3 linked regions of the Nothobranchius furzeri genome follow. The protein of the gene in region 1 purifies or fractionates together with the protein of each later gene. This does not show direct contact. Links are inferred from orthologs where the notes say so. Each region holds a gene or a part of one and is shown on either strand. Other genes may lie near its edges.

Region 1 (6,760 bases):
GACTCATCCCCATCAGAGATGAGTGAGATGACGGTGGTGTCGTCTGCAAACTTGATAGGCTTCACAGACTCATGGTTGGAGGTGCAGCTGTTGGTGTACAGCGAGAAGAGCAGATGAGAGATAACGCAGCCTTGAGGGGAACCGGTGCTGATGGTTCACAGGTCAGAGACATTCATTATAGCTGATAGCATGATAGCATGATAGCAACAGGGAAACTCACTCTAACTGTTTTTTTTAATCTTTTTATTCATCTAAAACACAATGAAAACTGTATTTATGTAAGTGTTATATTCAATAGTTGTGTGGAGTCAAAGGGCAAATCCAGCTAGCTACAGCGCTACAAACTTTACTTAATGAAGAGCTATGTTAGAGCCCCCACAGTGGCAATCAGTTAGAGCTACACAAACCTGCTTATCTCAGTGAAGCTGGAAAACAAAATCCTACATTTTTTTTGTCTTCATGGGAGTATTAATATTAAGGAGAAGGAGTACATTCAATAGTTACTCAGTAGAAACCGTTTTTTAAAGAGCAAGTCACCCCAAATCAACTTATTTTACTGATAAACTATATAGACGAGTGTCTAATGGTGCTATAGAGCTCCGGGAGCTGACATCACTTCTCCCGGCATGCAACAGTTCAAATCGAAATGGCGCCATATTGGCATGCAGAAGCCGGCAGCTGGACTATTTGTTATTGTCAGAAAACTCAATCAGACAGGAAATATGGTAGATTCCTGTTGTGCCCCAGGATGCAGAACAGACACGGACGACATAAGGAATGAGCCATCTACAGGATTCCCCAAGATCCGGAGCACCGCAAACGTTGGATCATTGTAATAAAACGCGCTAGTGACCGGGCTGAAATGAAGCTGTGGGACCCCGAGAGTAAAGGTTTTCGCTTATGCAGCGACCGCTTCATATCAGGTACTTAAACAACGTTTCCTCAACTGTGTATGGTGTTTATTTTAAATGCTTTTATTACGATTCTTAGTGGGCTTCCTAAACTTATTTTGGCGTGGCTTTTTCTGTCTTATTACTCATAGCAGCAAGTAAACATCACGTAAAACGTTGCCTCGTGAGTTCTGCGTGCTGCCGTTTACGTGTTTTATGATCACAGCAGTTAACCGGCTAAGCTGTATTTAATTTTTAAGCAATGGTTGATCAATTGTCAGATCACACATAAAAAGCATTTTGGATTGCTATTATTTGTCTCACCGAGTCAGATCTCAGACAGATCCTGAGACGCTCCTGCCTGACATATTTATTTTATTCATGGAAAACAATCAAACTAGTGATTTCTCTTGGTGTTCAGTTTATACATTCAAACAGCACAGCACTCTATTTAAACTACTTACGTGTAAATCTGTTATTTGTCCATCCATCCATTTTCATCCGCTTATCCGGAGTCGGGTTGCGGGGGCAGTAGCGTCGAGAGGTCCAGACTTCCCTTTCCCCAGCCGCCTGAGCCAGCTCCTCCGGGGAAATCCCAAGGGGTTCCCCGGCCAGATCCGGTAAGAAGTCCGCTCCGACAGCTTCTGGCGTTTTAAAAAAGTATCCCAGGGGCACGGTTAAGGGTCGGAGATGTTTGGTCTATTTAATTTCTGACTATATAAAACGATTTCTTCAGTTTTAAAGTGTGAAGTAAACTCAGACGAAGTAAAATCCAAGCCGATCCCGTTCATGTTCATGTTTACGATCCGTGTTTGTTTACCATTTTTTCCCTGCCAATATGGCGTCTACTAACTGAGAGTCACGTGGGGTCCGGAGCTCTATAGATGTGTGTAGTCAATAATTTGGCACTTTAGTGCATCTTATAATTTAAATATGCAGCCTAAAACTGTCAGTGTTGCGCCCCCTTCAGGTAAAAACTCTGCACTACATTTGAATTTAAATCTGCCATCACTGTTGGCTAAGAGGTACCCTTTGAAGTCAGCTGGTACATTATGATGTCACAATGCCGTTGTGAACCTGTTTGTGTGTGTTTGTTAACGGCTCCGCCCTCTCGGTCAGCCAGGCAAACGCATTCGTTGCATTTTTCAAACATGAAGTGGGAGTGTAGTAAGTTTCTTGTAGTGTGACTTGCTCTTTAATTAAATGAAATGCTACAGCATTTGTGGCCATAGCAACTCATGAGGGGAACTCATTCTCTTATTGTTTAGCTAAAAATGCAATAATAACTGTATTTATGTTACAGGTTAAACACGGTCATCTCCCCTTCCCTTCTTAACAAAACCAAAGTGTAATTCCCCAATGCATAAACATTAACATGCTGGTGCTGGTGGTGATGAGCTACATCGTAGCTACAGTTGCCCTGGGGCTCATTGTGTGTGTGTGTGTGTGTGTGTGTGTGTGTGTGTGTGTGTGTGTGTGTGTTTGTGTGTGTGTGTGTGTGTGTGTGTGTGTGTGTGTGTGTGTGTGTGTGTGTGTGTGTGTGTGTGTGTGTGTGTGTGTGTGTGTGTGTGAATAACTGGTTGTATTGTAAAGTGCTTTGAAGGGGGTTGTAGAACCCTAAGAAGTGAGTGACTTATGCTTAAGTGTACCATGAACATCTCATTTGTATCTAAAATGCAGTAAATTCGCCAAACTTGGCAACCCTGTTTGAATTGAAGCACCCCCCCCCCCAATGTGGTTCACTGTTCAAAAACCTCTCTCTCTCTCTCTCTCTCTCTCTCTCTCTCTCTCTCTCTCTCTCTCTCTCTCTCTCTCTCTCTCTCTCTCTCTCTCTCTCTCTCTCTCTCTCTCTCTCTCTCTCTCTCTCTCTTTCTCTCTGTCACGTGACAGGCGGGAGCTTGTGCTAACCAGTGCAGTGCAGCTAATCTCGCTGTTGTTTTTCTTCTAACCATGTTCGTAGCTCGGAGTATCGCTGCGGACCATAAAGATCTGATCCACGATGTCTCTTACGATTTTCACGGCCGGAGAATGGCAACATGCTCCAGCGACCAGAGTGTGAAGGTGAGCTGACTCAAGCTAGCATGTTAGCGTCACCCACGTTCCTAGCTTCTTACTGAACACACTCGTGTTGTGTGCTGGCACATTATGCGCTTATTAGCTAAATTAGACAAAATTTGTTTTAAAACTATAAACTAATTTAAAGTATTGCATGTTACTGTACTTACATTGTAGCATGCAGGCTAATGTGTGCAGACGTTTGACTGGAATATGAACGTATCAGTAAAAGCTTCAATCACGTAAGGCAGCGAGTGTTGTGTTTTAGGTAGGAACCATAGGAACTCATTTCGTGTGTTGTCAGTTTAAAATTAATGTGTGGAGATGACGTAACAGCAGCTGTTTATTGTGACTTCCTGACAGGTTTGGGACAAAAGTGAGAATGGAGAGTGGCACTGCACAGCCAGCTGGAAGGTAAACAACCTGCTTACGTTTGTTTACATGACCGTAAAAGCCCTTCCTGGGTAATCTTTGCTGTTTCAACAGATTTACTATTGCTCTACACTCACGGGCACTATCAAGTTTGCCAATAGATCCGGGTTGGACCTCTTTTAGACCTCTTTAGAACCACCTTAATCCTTCATCTCAAAGAGCCAACAAGAAGTTAAAGTGGTCCTCAGAGGCTCTGGTCCAACCTGACATGACAGCATCGGCTCCAACCATGATGAGAAGCTCCAGTTCCACCACATCCCAAAGGTTCTGGGCTGGACTGAGATCTGTTGACTGTGGAGGCCATTAGAGTCCAGTTCTAGAAACTAGTTAGAGATGATCTGAGCTATGTGACATGGTGCTGCTGGAAGTAGCATCAGAAGATGGGTCTATGTGGTCATAAAGGGCTGGACATGGTCAAACTCTTCAGCTTCTCTTCTTCTATTCTATACAACATTCAAACCATGGAAATGTCTTTTCCTCCACATTCTGATGCTCAGTTTCAACTTCAGCAAGTAGCCTTCATCATGTCTAGATGCCTAAATGGACAGTGCCGCCCGTCATGCGATTGGCTGAGTGGAAATGTGCAAAGCTGTAGAATAGGTCAATCAATCAAAGCTTTCAATCAATCAAAGCTTTATTTATAAAGCGCCTTCCGCAACCCTGTCAGGAAGCCCAAAGCGCTGAACATGGTACAGTTGTAAGTAATTATATTGAATAAATCAACAATAAAAGAAATTCAAATTACAAAATACAAATTACAAAATACAAAATGGAAATTACAAGATAGATGAAACATTCCGGTAAAATACAAATGTGTGAAACACATTTGGATTGAGTGGATGGATTGAGTGTACCAATGAAAACTGTGGAATGGATTCAACATAAAAGAGTGCCAAAATCAAACATGTTCTGGAAATGCCAAGCGGAGGAGGTGTGTTTTTAGGTGATTCTTAAAGACTGGCAGAGAAGGGGACAGCCTAACTGAGGGTGGCAACTGGTTCCAGAGTAACGGTGCTAGGACTGAGAAAGCTCGGTCCCCACGGGTACGACACCTAGACCGAGGGACAGCGAGCAGGCCTTGGTCAGAGGAGCGCAGAGCGCGTGATGGGGAGTGTCTTTTCAGGAGTGTGGCTAGATAGGGGGGAGCACCACCCTGGAAGAAATGATAAACAAAGACGAGTATTTTGAATTGTGAGCGATAGGAAATCGGAAGCCAGTGCAGGGAGGCCAGAACTGGACTGATGTGGTCCCGTTTCCTGGTCCCAGTCAGGAACCTGGCAGCGCTGTTCTGCACAACCTGTAGGCGATGCAGTGTTGACTGATACAACCCTGCATATAGAGAGTTGCAGTAGTCAAGCCAAGAAATTAGAAAGGCATGCAGTACCCGCTCCAGGTGGGCTCTTGACAGCATATGCTTGATTTTAGCAAGGCGTCTCAGGTGAAAGAAACTGGACCGGATCACAGAATTGATGTGAGCATCAAATTTAAGTCCTACATCAAGTTTCACCCCCAAACTGGTAACAACTGGTTTTGAGTATGGAGAAAGAGGGCCAAGATCAGCATAACGATCCACATTCCTGCTGTTGGGGTGAAAAACAATGAGCTCTGTCTTTCCCTCATTCAGATGTAGATAGTTGGACATTAGCCAAGACTTCACCTCATTAACACAGGAGACAAAGGACTGAATAAAGTGACCTTTCTCCTGACACAATGGAGAGTAAATCTGGCAATCGTCAGCATACAGATGGAATGATAGGCCATGTTTACGAAAGATTGACCCCAGAGGTAGCAGATGTACCTATGAAGTGACTGGTGAGTGTATATTTGTGTATTTTGGACTTATCCATGATGTAATGATGTGTGTGCAGACCCACAGTGGATCAGTGTGGAGAGTAACCTGGGCCCATCCAGAGTTTGGGCAGGTCCTGGCCTCCTGCTCCTTCGACAGAACAGCTGCTGTCTGGGAGGAGATCGTAGGGGAGTCCAATGACAAACAGAGAGGCCTGAGCCACTGGGTTTGTACAGCCACAGCTCAGTCATTAATGTTTTCATAGGTTTGCCTGTCTCGAGTCCTGACCCGTGTTTCTGGTGCTCTGATTCAGATAAAGAGAACAACACTGGTGGACAGCAGAACATCTGTAACTGATGTGAAGTTTGCTCCTAAACACATGGGTCTGATGCTGGCCACCTGCTCTGCTGATGGAGTGGTGAGGATCTACGAGGCTCCTGACGTGATGAACCTGAGCCAGTGGTCTCTGCAGCACGAGATCTCATGCAAGCTCAGCTGCAGCTGTATATCCTGGAACCCTTCCAGGTTAGATGATAATTATTTCACTTAACACATGGGGGACATGTTTGTTTCTGTAATCGGTCATTTGGAGAATTTCCTTAAACCTGAGCATCACTGTTGCTGCTGCCATTCCTTTATGTCTTGTTTTATGACAAGAGGTCATTACACAAGAGGTGTTACAGACTGTGAGAACTTTCTGTCTTTCTTTGTGGACAAAGTCAATAAGGTCAGATCTAGCATCTCTCCTTCAGCCTTATCGCTGCCTCTCCCGACTCCAACCAGACCCATCATCCTAGATAGCTTTGCACCTGTTTCTTTGCCTGAGTTAACCAAACTAGTTAACTCTATGAAGACCTCTGCATGCCCCCTCGACATCTTACCCTCATCTTTGTTTAAAAGTGCTTTTCTGTCCATCGGTCCCATCGTGCTCTCTATAATTAATGCTTCTCTGGTTTCTGGTCACGTCCCTGCTTACTTTAAGAATGCTGTAATCCACCCGCTTCTTAAAAACCGGGTCTTGACCCCTCTCTCCACAGCAGCTTCAGACCCATCTCTAAACTTCCGTTCATCTCCAAGATCTTGGAAAAGGTTGTGGCTAAACAACTCACAGCTGCTCTTGATGAACATAACATCTATGATAGCTTCCAGTCAGGTTTTCGTAGAGCTCATTCTACTGAAACAGCTCTTCTTAGGGTCTCTAATGACCTTCTGACTCAGTGATGCAGGGGACTGTTCTGTTCTGGTCCTGCTGGACCTGACTGCAGCCTTTGACACTGTTGACCATCACCTGCTACTGGAGAGGCTGAGATACTGGGTAGGCCTTTCAGGATCTGCTCTGGAGTGGTTCTCCTCTTATCTGTCTTAGCGCTCCTTTTCTGTGGCCGTCTCCAAGTTTAGGTCCTCCACCACCTCTCTTACCCATGGTGTCCCACAAGGTTCTGTGCTGGGGCCTCTGCTCTTCCTCCTCTATCTGCTTCCTCTTCAGCACATCCTGAGCTCCTTCAAAGGAATCTCCTACCATCTTTATGCAGATGACATCCAACTGTACATCTCCTTTAAGCCCCATGAGATGTCTAAGCTGCAGCTGTTTCAC
Region 2 (5,826 bases), on another chromosome or scaffold:
GACCTGCATGGGTCTGCCTGATCCAGAAGCAGCAGTGATCAGAGAGGAGGTGAGCTCCTCTAAGCAGTACATCAACTCATAGGTTTGCTCTGCAGAGAAGATCACCTGAAAACAAGGAGAACAAGTTACTCCACTGAAACTCCAACTGTTCGGATTTTTTCATCCACATAATAAAAAATGACAAATAGCTCAATTTTTGATATGCTAACTCTTACAAGAAACATGTTTAGTAGTCAGTTGGTTTAAATGGTAACTAGGCAGTTTTAGCACCCCCAAGAAATCTCCTCGCTGTGCGTTCGTCTTTTTAACACCTTAATCTAACAGCTGAAATGACTCCTCAGCCTTCATTAGTGTCTACAGGAGTGAGTCGTCACCAAATCAAACATATCAGATGTGTTCCCGATCCAAAACATGCAGGAAGCAGACTGCAGCGCCAGGTGTGTCAGCTCAATTTTTTACCGGCACTCTGGGGTTGCAAGTGGGATATTCTGCCACATGGGGGGGTGGGGGGGGGGGGAGAGATGATAGGAGCTGTGTGGCCTTTAATTAACCTCAAAAAGGGTCATTTTAGCACAAACTGGCTCAAGAAAATGACTTCAAAATATGAAAAAGTTGCAAAGTGCCCCTTTAATAAAACAGGGGTAGTAATGTTCACATTAAAAATAACATACGGTAGTGTGTCACTCAAAAAAACTACATAAATTAATTAATTTTTAATGATGAATAAAAAGTTCCACAAATACCTACTTAAAGATAGATATTACTTATTCTATTTGTGCAGCATTTTTCATGCACACAAAACTCTGACCAGGAGGTCACAAATGATCTTAAACAGGATCAAAACATTCATTTAACAACATCTGAATGCTCCAGATTTGTGCATTTAACCCTCTGATGCATGAATTATGAGATCTTCAACCATGATTTTTTAAACAATTTGTTTCATTCATCTTTAGGTGTGAATTAAACAAATTTCAACAAATATTCTTTGTAACATTTTGTTAATTTACAAATACTTTATTACATGTCTATCTCAGTGGACAGCGTGCATTCTGAACATGAAATATGTTGGCTTGCCTTACTGAAGTCCAACTGGAGAGGCTCACATGCAATAAAGTCTTCAACAGCTGTGCTTAATAGCAAAAATAAATAAATAACTATTTTGAGTACCTGTCCACTGTAGTGACCATTATGCATCAAAGGGATAAACTAAAGTTCTTGATTTTGTAATAACAAATCTACTTTAAACCGATGTTCAGGTGTGGACTGACCTCTTTCTGCTCCAGCAGAGGCAGAGCATCCGTCAGCAGCGTCATCCAGAAGCTTTGGGGAGCGATTTTAGCCGTCATGAGGGAGAGTAGCAGCTTTGCAGCATCGCTGAAGCACTTCTCTCCGTACAGCTTGTGGAACTCACGGTATTTTCCTGGAGAGAATCATTTCTATCAAATCATCCTCCAGAAATTCTCACCATCACATGTTGTTGCATCAAGCGGATACTGGTTCTGTTTCTATTAGTCTTGTGTGTGTGTGTGTGTGTGTGTGTGTGTGTGTGTGTGTGTGTGTGTGTTCAGGCTCCTACCAAGGAAGGTTAGCCTGTCGCTGAGCAGCATGGTTGAGCCCAGGTTGTCGATCAGATCCAGATCAGAGAAGGTGCCTTTGGCGCAGTAATCCTGCAGGAACCTAAAACACAAACACAAAAACAACTTCAAATCATTTTCAGAGAGAAAGACATTTAGTGAACTAATAAGCCCAACAGTGATACTTATAAAAAGCTTAAGAAGCATGTAGGTAAAAGTTAAATGTGTTCCTGGAGAATGAAGATGAAGCTGTCAGTTGTGTATATTTCAGTAAGAGCACCACTAAAGGGATGTGACCTCTCTGAAATCAGGGTGGCAAACGCAGCATCTTTGGCTCGGATGCTCCAGGAGAGAGCAGAGCCCAGTCGGTTGTTCCTTACAGCCCGCATGGCCATGATCTTACAGATGCTCCGCACTGGGACCAAAACAACAAAAAACAAACCAGGTCAAGCTTTTCCAGCCTAGCTTACACCAGAGAGATTAGCTTTGTGACACAAACTGATAAAAAGGACGACCGAGCCCCTACCCTGCTCTGACATCTGCCTCTCCTCACAAATTCGGAGCACTTTGAGCGCTTTGCGCTCCGTGTCCAAAGGAACTCGCTCGATCTGCAGCTCCAGATAGACGCGGCCAAATTCTGGGCAGTGATCGAAATAATCCACGGCACACTGCCAGAGACTAAAAACACACAGAAACATCTGGTTAGTGAACGCTAAAATAACAGAGAACGACTCATATTTCAATGTTTGGATCCAGTTCGATGATTGCAGGACATTTTTTTGTCGTCGTTGATTTTCTGTGTGACTGAAACCCAAAACACAAGTGTGCCACTAGACAGTCCCTCAGGTGTAAACATGTTACTGTGTGGTTAAACGGTCACAAGGGAGCCATACCTGTGATGCGTGAACAGACCAGAGGCGTATTCTAACAGCAGGAACTCTCTCAAGTTGGATCCAAAACTACATACACACACACACACACACACAGATTAGATTAATTAACTGTGTAATTTTATCCTCTCTGGATTAAAACCAGATAAAAGAAATCATCCCTACTGGAGATTATGAGACTGGAGGAGTTTGCAGTGATCCAACAGGTCTGTTAAATGAGCCACAAACCACCAGTTGTTGAGAGCAATACTGCGGGGACAAGGGAGACGCCGACCGTTCAAGGACTCGTGAACTGACTTGTTAAGCACCTTGAATGTGATTAATATGGTAGACCCTGTCGGTTACCTGCAGTCCTTGATGACCTGATGAATGTCAAACTCAAAGGCAGCCAGCAGGATGCTGTCCAACGGCTCCGGCACGCCCGAATCCAGAAACATCATCATAGACGACTGCAGACGACACAAACACACGGGTCAGGTAAACTACATGTGCTCAGAGTCAGTGCTGCAGACTCGGGGGCTACCTGAGCGTAGTAATGCAACTCTGTGGGCTTCACTGTGGGATGGCAGTAGAGGAGTCTGGTGATGAGGAAGTAGTACCAGGTGCTGAGAAGTTCCTTGTGCTCCAACAACACGTCTTCATCCCCCAGTAGGATCTAAGGTTGCATCAACACCCTGTTTGATTCAGTTCACATCAGAAAACGTGACCAAACCACAACTCAAGCTGTCACTGACTTTGCAGATGACCTCCAGGTGTTGGTTGCTTGCAAATGAGTTATCCTTCAGGTAGCGGTCCACCTCCTCGTGCCAGTTCCTCCACTTCACATCAAACTCTGTTAGTGTCTGAGTGCCGCCAGGCTGAGAGGGGTTTTTGGAAAATGTAGGAAATAAAATCAGCAGAGTCATGTTTTAATATTTAACAATAAGCAGAAGTTTAAAATCCAAGTTCACTTGCTTTCAATACATTAGCAGTGATCACTAGTGTAGACAAATGCCTTTAGAGTCAATCACTGTGGAGAAATAGCTCCGGTGCTCCTGTTTCAGGAACAAGAAGTTAGCCAGAGGAGTAAAGAACAGAAGAATGAGGGTTTATTAAATAAGTTCATTTTGTCTTTGTTATAAAATAAAATTACTTCTTTTTTTAATAAGACAGTTTAAAGAAAACATTTTAGAAGCCTGAGGGCTTTGGAGTCTTATTTCCTGATGCTCTGACATTTCAGCAACACGACTCTATCACTGACTGTTACCGTTGCAACATTGATTTTATCCCAAATAACACAAGCCTGGAGGAGTTCTGCTGTGTTGTGGAGTTACTAATGCTAACGGTTAGCTTCTACTAGTCTCTGCCGCTTCCTGGACACTAAACCAACAACAGCCGTAATGAGCCACGATGAATGCTAAGTTACAGTGTGACAGAGATCTTTGTGGCTTTTCTGATCCAAGCGTTTCCACGTCAGTTTTCTATTGAGAGTCTTGATAAGTTTTCTCCTCAGTGAGGCCCACCACATGTGTCCTGGACCCTATTCCCACTAGTTTTTTTTAAACAATTCTGATTCTTTTAGAGATGCGGTTTTAACTATGATGAATTGCTCTCTTCAGACGGGGGTCTTTCCTGCCGCTTTTAAATGGGCGGTGGTGAGGCCCCTGCTGAAGAAGAGCAATTTAGGTTTTAATGACTTAAACAATTATCAACCGGTTTCCAACTTACCATTTTTAAGCAAAATTTTTAGAAAAGCTTGTTTTAATTCAACACCCATAATATCTTAGAAAAATTTCAGTCTGGTTTTAGGGTGAACCACAGCACCAAGATGGCCCTTCTGAAGATTTTAAATAATTTTAGAGTAAATTATGCTAAACGGAAGGTGACTGTGTTGGTTCTCCTGGATCTAAGTGCTGCCTTTGATACAGTAGTATTCCTTTAACTCTGAAACGGATCGGCCGATGGTTCACTTCCTACCTCACAGACAGGACTTTTATGGTGAGTTTGGATACCTGATCCTCTAGGGTTCACGGGATTACATGTGGTGTGCCCCAGGGTTCAATTTTAGGCCCAGTGCTTTTTAACCTTTATATGCTCCCTCTTGGCAGTGTCATCAGGACACATGGGGTGAATTTCCACAGTTACGCGGATGATACACAGCTGTACATCTTGGTGTCTCCTGATGACACACAGTCAATGGATGCACTTTTTAACTGCATTTTAGACATCAAATCCTGAATGGCAGGAAACTTTCTCCAGCTTAACCAGGACAAAACTGAAGTTTTAGTAATCGTCCTGAGGCCCAGAGAAAGAAACTTTTACCAAAACTGCAATCAATGCCTTTTAATCCATCTTCACAAGTGAAGAACCTGGGTGTCATCTTTGACTCTGAGCGGACTTTTATCCATCATACCATACCATACATTTATAAAGCACATTTAAAAACGGCATGGCAGCCGACCAAAGTGCTGTACAGAATAAAAAGTAAAAACACAATATAAAACAATACACAGTCAACAATAAAATGCACAACAAGGCAGATAATCACGGTCAATAAAAGACACATAATAAAATAATAAAAGTCAGGGATTTAAAAATGCCTGGTCATAAAAGTGAGCCTTAAGTAGCGACTTGAACCGGAGGAGGGATGGTGCCAGCCTCACTGAAAGAGGAAGAGCATTCCAGAGTGTCGGAGCAGCATAGACAAAAGCACGCTGCCCCCGCGTTTTGCATTCCATTGTTGGAACGCAAAGCAGCAGGCAATCAGCAGACCTCAACGCCCGGTTTGGCACATAACGAGTCCAGGGTATATACAGCAATCCTTAAGTAAAATTTACTACTTTTTAATACCTTTTTTACTACCTTCAGAATTTTTTTAAAACCATCACAACACTAAATTGCAAGTGTTAATCAGCGACCTATTTACACATATTTTAACATATATAACATACAAAAAGAATAGACTTAGAGACTCACTGATGTTGACAACGTATTGCGCATATTTATTTTACTTAGAAAATAAGCCAGGCACTTCTGTTCAGCGGTTCAGACAGTTGACCACGGGGCCTGAAATGATGCAGAACCACTGAATATGACGTCATCATAATGTGACCGGATATGCTAAAGTAGGGCTGCTCGATTATGGCAAAAACAATAATCACGATTATTGTGACTGAAATTGAGATCTCGATTATTTAAGACGATTTTTCAATTTATGTAGATTTTTTTTTTATTCAGTCATAAAACTGCTCAGGGCACAATCAGGGCAAAAATAAACAAAAAACAAGATGATCACTAAAAGAACTCCTGATTCCCAGTATAAAAAGACCAATATACTCATAGCTCATAGTTTATGACCCAAGGGCTATAGACCTTGGTTT
Region 3 (6,660 bases), on another chromosome or scaffold:
CGGCCGGTCCGAAGCTTTCTCAAGAACTGACTCACGGTGAAGAGAGTCCTGTTTTAATAATCATCGTATTTTGATTTACTAACAAACCAGAATTTGACGTGTAAAAAGGTTTTTACCAACAAACCTCAGAAAACATGCCCTGTGTCAGATACAGGAGCTCTGATTGGTGGAACAGAAAGCACTGTGTCAGGATATTAGCTTAACCTTGTCATCATCACGTGTGTGAGCTGTCAGTAGATAGTGACTCACTGTTAAATCTAACTTTACTGATCATAACATCATAATATTCATTTCAACCTCAGTAATTTAAGCACAGATTAATCAAAACATTGTTATTGTCCTTCAACCATTATTGTTCATTATATGATTTAATTTAGAAAGTTCACCCGTCTTGTGCTGTGAATAAAAACCAGGCTTAGATAAGAGTGAGCTTGGAGAGACCTTGAAGCATCAGTGTGTTCTTGCAGATTAGAGCACCAGTTAAGACTTACGTCTCCAAATGAACCGAAACCGAGGAGGTGACCTGTAGATGGACAAACAGACCGTTTCCGGAGGCTAAACGTTCTAGCTGCTGTTTACATCCTGCCAGATGCGAACCCACACAAGGCTCAGCCCGTGCTCCAATATCCCTGGAGCGGGCGTACCTGGACCCCCTCATCATTGCTCTGGGAGATTTTAACTGGTCTGAGCCAGCAGCTTCCCAAATATAAACAGTAAATTAAATGCCCAACCATAGGGGAGACAACCCTGGAACACTGTTACAGCACGCTAACTAGAGCCTCCAGCTGCATTCAGACTTTCTGACCACGTGAGCGTCCATCTGATCCCTGCGTACAAACAAAGGCTAAAACTCTTTAAGCCTGCTGTGAAGTCGGCAAAACTGTGAAGAACGAGGCTGTAGATGAGCTCCGCACATGTAGACCACAGACTGGGAGGTAATGAGGGCTGCCTCTGACAGTTTAGTTTACACAGATACGTCACCTCCTACGTCCACTTCTGCTGAGTCCGCCATTTTCCACAGGGCTAGCCTCGCTGTTCAGAGCGGGCTTTTTGGAAACCCACAGTGGTGCCCTCTACTGGCTGGTAGGTGTAAACATCAACCCAGTGGCGTGCCCATCAAAATATACATTTGATTATTTTTCCATTAGAATGAACTTTTATTCATTCTGTAAGTGGCCTGTGGAGGTATTGCTTATTTAAAATATGAAGCTTTTTCTTAAGCTGTTCCATATTCAACCTTTAATTTTAAAGTAACGGTTTAACGGGCGACTGCTAATCAGAAGTATTTATGTTTACAGTCCAGCTGTGAGGCTGTTTACAGCACTAACGGTGTGACCCTCCACCTGTGCAGGCTCTCAGGACGCTGTACAGCCAGGCCAACATGGAGACGCGCTACTTTGCAAAGAAGACCACGCTGCTGGCTCTCAGTAAACTAACGGCGCTGGCGTCTGACCTGCCGGAGGAGGAACTCAACAAACAAGTGGATGGTAAAAACCCGGTCTACACGGAGCAGACGTCCTGGTGTTGGGATCATGTTGAAGAGGGACTGACACAGCTGGAAGCATGAGACAGAAACCAGTAGACCTCTAACCGCCCCATGCCCTGTGGCAGTGCAGCAGAAAGGACCTGTTACGGATTAAATACGTGTCCTGATGATTTTTAGTGAACTGTTATTGTTACATGACTTATTATCCTGACGTCTTCGCTGGTTAAAAATCCATTCATTCATCAACAGCATCATGTCTGTTAACTTAAGACTCTGTGTGATCTGAATGTCGTCATCTGTTCTTCTCGTGATGAGGGCTCTTCTCAGGGTATCCGCGGGTCCTTAAAAGTCTTAAAAAGTCTTAAATTTGCTTTTCTAAATTTAAGGCCTTAAAAATCCTTAAAAATGACAAATAATCCTTAAATACAGTTTCCAAAGGTCTTAAATTACCAAAGACCCAATGAACAAGAATTTCTAGTTGGTGTTCAGCATTTTTTGTGTATGATGTTGGCGTAAGCGGAACCATACACATTCAAATGGTTGTAAAAGGGGGCTGTTTTTAGATGAGCACATTAGCTGGTTAAGCTAGTGGGGGCTTGCGCTATGGGGAAGTGCAAGTTTAATGGTAACTGGGTGGGTAATCCCACGTTTGCGACATGGTTAGCAACGGTTCCAGGCAATACCTGGAAATTATAGCTTAAATTTAATTTAAAAAAAATGGCTTAAATTTGGTCAAACTGGCCTTAAAAAGGTCTTAAAAAGTCTTAAATTTGGCTCCCTTAAACCTGCAGATACCCTGTCTTCTGTTTTGATGTGATGCAGTCATTTATTTGTCTTGTCCCTCAGACATTGTGGAGCAGGAACGCTTCCTGCTGCATCAGGAGACTCTGCCCAGACAGCTCCTGGAGGAGAAGCAACTAAACCCCGACACCATGCCTCTGCTCAGCGCTCACAACCTCATACAGGTGAGCTGTAGCTACGGTCCAGGGCCAACCGTGTTACGAAAACACTTTATAGCTTTTTCTGGCCGAATTTGCAATTCCAATTCAAGATTTACTTTTCTAATCCAGATTCAGCTCATTGTTCACATGCACAGCAAGATTTATGACATCATACCCTCAAAACATGAAAAGCAGTTAATCTGATATGAAATCTGAAGGTAAAATGTACTTTAGATGCTTAAAAGTTCATGCATGCAGAGTTTTCCCAGCATCTTTTACCGAGCAGCGCCTCCTGGAGGTTCTCCTCACAAAAACTCGCCCCAGCACGTTTTGCGTACGTACTTGGATTTACCGTGACTCTGCAACCGTTTGTGCTGTCAGACAGATGTAAATGTTTTTAGTAGGGCTGGGAAATAATTAGAAACTTTATAATCGAAATTTCGGACTCTTATGGTGATCATTTTCCCACGTCAATACATTTGATAAAACAATGAAAGTGTGTAGGTTGGCAGCGTTCGTGTCCCTTTAAGGAGCGGGACCTGGGGTCATGTAAAAATGTGACCCAATGTAACACGTGGCAGCCCCATCTAGTGGACAACCTTTGTTTCTCGCGTACCTGTAGTTATCGTCCATTTATCGTTGTCGAGTTGAAATGATCAATAAATCGTGATATTGATTTTAGGCCGCATCGCCCAGCCCTAGTTCCAAGTCCACTTGGTGTCATTACTGGAAATCCCTATCTGCTGTCGGGGGACCTGGGCGAGTCAGACTCGCCGTCTCACGCTCACAAACCGAGGGACAGATTGAGCGACAGACAACCGTAGATATAAACGATATCCGCAGCTGCGCCACGAAAAGCATAAAAACCCATAAGAGTGACCAGCTGCACCACCGTCAGCCCCCACAACGCCGACACCCCTGCCTCCACTCGCGGCTACGGCCGAAATGCGTTTACGGCCTTGGGGGTGTTTTACGCCCAGAACATATTAGAAGAAAGTGCGACGATGCGCCGCGAAGCGCAGTGGGACGGCGAGCGCTTCTGATCGGCGCCCTTGTTGACCTACGCTCTCGGTCACATCCGCTGCGAAGCGCCACGGAGGCTCGCGCCGCGCAGCGATCGTTTTGGTGTGAGCTCTGATTTTTTTCGGAGCCGCATCAATTCTGACAAGAAGTCGAACCAAAGCAGAAGAGGCAAGCCGGTAAATTTAACAAAATAAAAGAAAATTTTCAAAATAAAACACTGCAATTGATAAATGTGATCATTTTTGTGTATCTAAACAGACTAGAGAGATGAAAATGAACACACACGCGCGCACGCACACACACACACACACACACGCAGCAAGGGCACAAGGGTGCGGTGGGGGGGTCGGAAGACAGTAGGCGTGAGCAGAAGCACTCGTTGACACAAATTTCGTGAGCGCTCCACTTCGCAGCTGGTGTGTTCCAGACGTGTAAAATAGTTGACACTACAGATCCTGAGTCAGTCGGATGCGAGCAACAAACCCGTAGCGTCGACGATCACGTGATGGTTTGAAATCAGAGTCGTTCAGCTCTGCTGCAAGCCGTGCCTTCCTGGAGCATCGTTGCTGGGAAGAAGTCACCAGCTGGCGGTCCTGCTGAAGTACAACAGGAGCCGGTCGCTTGTGTTGAAAGTGTCTTTCTCTGCAGCTCTACATCTGTGATGACAACAGGAGGGCCAACGAGTACGACTTCAAAAAGGCGTTGGACCTGCTCGAGTACATCCACAAGGTGACTTCCTGCTCATGTGTCGGACTGCTGAGGATCGATCTGGCTTTAGCTCATGAGGCTTTTCTGTTTGCGTTGCAGGAGGACTCTGTAGACATTGATGCTCTGAAGTGTGAGATCTTCGGCAAAGCACTCAGACGAGATGAGTAAGCTCTGACACGTGTATGGTTATCGGTTCAGTAGTCACAAACCTCCGACACCTCATCACCCCCTCCCACTTTAGGCTGAAATTAAACTGTAAAACTGGTGAAATAGCAGTTTAGTTTTTAAATACCCAGAGTTTGTTTTAATAACAATCTCACCGGGTCAAATGTTCTTTGTTTAAGGGACGTTTGTTCATGTTTCAGCTTGGCTGCTGGCCAGGTTTTGTTTAGACTTAGACTTGCTTTTATCTTTTTATTTATTTATTTATTTTCCCCGTGTCCTGTCTGGCTGTGAAGCTAACTCTCAGGCACACTCCAGGACCCCCCTAAGGGTATAGAGCTGGTGCAGTGTTCCACGACCAGGGCGAAAACCACATTGCTAATCCGGAACCTGAGGCTCGACAGCCCAACGGACCCTCCTCTCCAGAACCCCTGAATAGACCTCACCAGAGAGGCTCAGGAGTGTGATACCCCTGTAGTTGGAACACATCCTGCGGTCCCCCTTTTATAAATCGGTGTACCAGAAATGTATAAAAAAACTAAAGTAGTGAGGAGTAAAAATAAAGCTACTGCATGATGAGCTGTTGCACTAAAGATGACATCATAACAGCATGTCTATAGTCCCCCGAGGTTCCTAAAGGTGGTGGAGGGAAAGGTGTGATGTGTCTGAATCTGGACATCCTGCTGCAGATGCTGCAGAACCACATGTCCATGGTGGGGATAGGTGGGGTCTGAGGCTATGCGCTGCGCTGCAAAGGCCGTCTGTTTTTCCTGTGAGCGAGGAGAGGTGTTGGAAAGAAGGTTACATCGAAACAGATTTCCATCTCAGCCGGCTTGGAGGGATTGTCAGTTTTTACAATCTGTGAGCCGGCGGGGCTGCCGAGTCGCTAGCGAGCTAACGCTGCTGCACCGGGACTTGTAATTTGACCCGGCAGGCAAAAGCTCTAGAGTTGTTTAGAAAAAAAACAAAGCCAGTAAACAGGAGCGACCAAGAAGTGATTTCATGTACCCCTAAGAAGCCATGGCATCTTTGTGTTTTACTCTAATATTGGGTGAAGCAGGCTAGAGACTAACGTTAAGCTAACAATGCTAACAGTGAATTAGAGGCAAATAGTCGTCTGTAAATCTTTCTGAAGTTATTGTTTCAGGTACCAACAAATAGATAGTACAATCAATGTTTTTTATCTTTATGTCTACTTACTGTGAGTGACTCGTCTTCACTTGTCATCTAGAATGTTCTGGTGCTGATCCATAACTGGCAACAGCCATGAAGCTCTCAAAGAAAGAGTGAGAGAGTCCCCCGTTTGTTTTGAAAATGGCTGCAAATTTACCCCAAAAGGTCCAGGTTGTCCACTGGTTTAAATGACCCAAAGCTATAAAGTATAAATGAAGTATAAATAAAAGTATAAATGAAGCGACGGTGGAGGGAAGTGGACAACACGTCCATGAACTTGTTTATTGTAGCGATTTGTTGAATCGATGAAAAAGCATTAAAGATCCAAAGTCTCTGGACTTCTGATGCAAAGTTCTGAAACAATCTCTCTTCTGTTGTTAATGATGAGTGGAACCAGGCCATGGGTGATGCCTCCTAGTGCCTCACTGATGGATGACTTCTGATTGACTTCCATGTGTTTGACTGCTTCTGCCTGCCTTTCAGCTGGTCCTCTGTTGATGGGAACGACGATCCTATAGAAGCAGCTAAGGACAGCATCTTTGTGAAGATCCTCCTCAAAGTAATACAAGAAGGTTTGTACTTGGTGCTTTAAAGGATATAATACTCCGCTAGCAATAATCACGACATAAATGGTTCACTGAGTGTAGACGGCGCCAGCAAAAACATGTAGTTTGAAATTCCATAAATGTAAAAGTGGTAGAACATGTAATGAACCCATGCCTAGTAAAGGAAGGAGACTAGTTCAGCCAGGAAAGGATTTTGAGTTGGTCTGAAGCAGCGGAGACTTGTATGTATGGGAACGGAGCACATCACTCCTGTTCTTAGATCCCTACACTGGTTACCAGTAAACTACAGAATACACTACAAAGTGCTACTACTAGTTTATAAATCACTCAATGGCATGGGACCAAAATACACGTCCGATCTCATTCCTGTATATAAACACCCAACAGGGCTCTGAGATCCCTGGAAACAATCAGCTGGTAGAACCTCGGGTCAGAACCAAACATGGTGGAGATGCATTTAGTTACTATGCTGCTCACATATGGAATCAGCTTCCCCATGACCTCAGACCTGCCCCAGCCCTAGTGTTGTTTAAAACTAAAACCCTCATGTACTCATCAGCCTTTACATGAATAGTTTCTTACCATGCGTCGTCTCCGCTGT

What was found.
Region 2: the proteins of seh1l (region 1) and nup85 purify together in Homo sapiens (affinity purification with western blotting; 4 studies listed by BioGRID and IntAct, with this or other methods). This does not show direct contact. The link is inferred for Nothobranchius furzeri from reciprocal best matches to the Homo sapiens genes SEH1L and NUP85.
Region 3: the proteins of seh1l (region 1) and nup133 purify together in Homo sapiens (affinity purification with mass spectrometry; 4 studies listed by BioGRID and IntAct, with this or other methods). This does not show direct contact. The link is inferred for Nothobranchius furzeri from reciprocal best matches to the Homo sapiens genes SEH1L and NUP133.

The regions. Positions count from the first base shown.
Region 1 is NC_091745.1:49,022,493-49,029,252, reverse strand, and holds the start of seh1l (nucleoporin SEH1), read left to right. Parts: upstream 1-2,760; 5' UTR 2,761-2,840; coding exon 2,841-2,951; intron 2,952-3,308; coding exon 3,309-3,359; intron 3,360-5,245; coding exon 5,246-5,392; intron 5,393-5,479; coding exon 5,480-5,691; intron 5,692-6,760. UniProt on the Homo sapiens protein: Component of the Nup107-160 subcomplex of the nuclear pore complex (NPC). The Nup107-160 subcomplex is required for the assembly of a functional NPC.
Region 2 is NC_091752.1:54,273,261-54,279,086, reverse strand, and holds part of nup85 (nuclear pore complex protein Nup85), read right to left. Parts: intron 3,325-5,826; coding exon 3,202-3,324; intron 3,123-3,201; coding exon 2,991-3,122; intron 2,917-2,990; coding exon 2,813-2,916; intron 2,717-2,812; coding exon 2,633-2,716; intron 2,537-2,632; coding exon 2,471-2,536; intron 2,256-2,470; coding exon 2,104-2,255; intron 1,993-2,103; coding exon 1,875-1,992; intron 1,681-1,874; coding exon 1,580-1,680; intron 1,424-1,579; coding exon 1,272-1,423; intron 106-1,271; coding exon 4-105; intron 1-3. UniProt on the Homo sapiens protein: Essential component of the nuclear pore complex (NPC) that seems to be required for NPC assembly and maintenance. As part of the NPC Nup107-160 subcomplex plays a role in RNA export and in tethering NUP96/Nup98 and NUP153 to the nucleus.
Region 3 is NC_091747.1:67,768,099-67,774,758, reverse strand, and holds part of nup133 (nuclear pore complex protein Nup133), read left to right. Parts: intron 1-1,351; coding exon 1,352-1,487; intron 1,488-2,332; coding exon 2,333-2,451; intron 2,452-4,098; coding exon 4,099-4,179; intron 4,180-4,257; coding exon 4,258-4,322; intron 4,323-5,976; coding exon 5,977-6,065; intron 6,066-6,660. UniProt on the Homo sapiens protein: Involved in poly(A)+ RNA transport. Involved in nephrogenesis.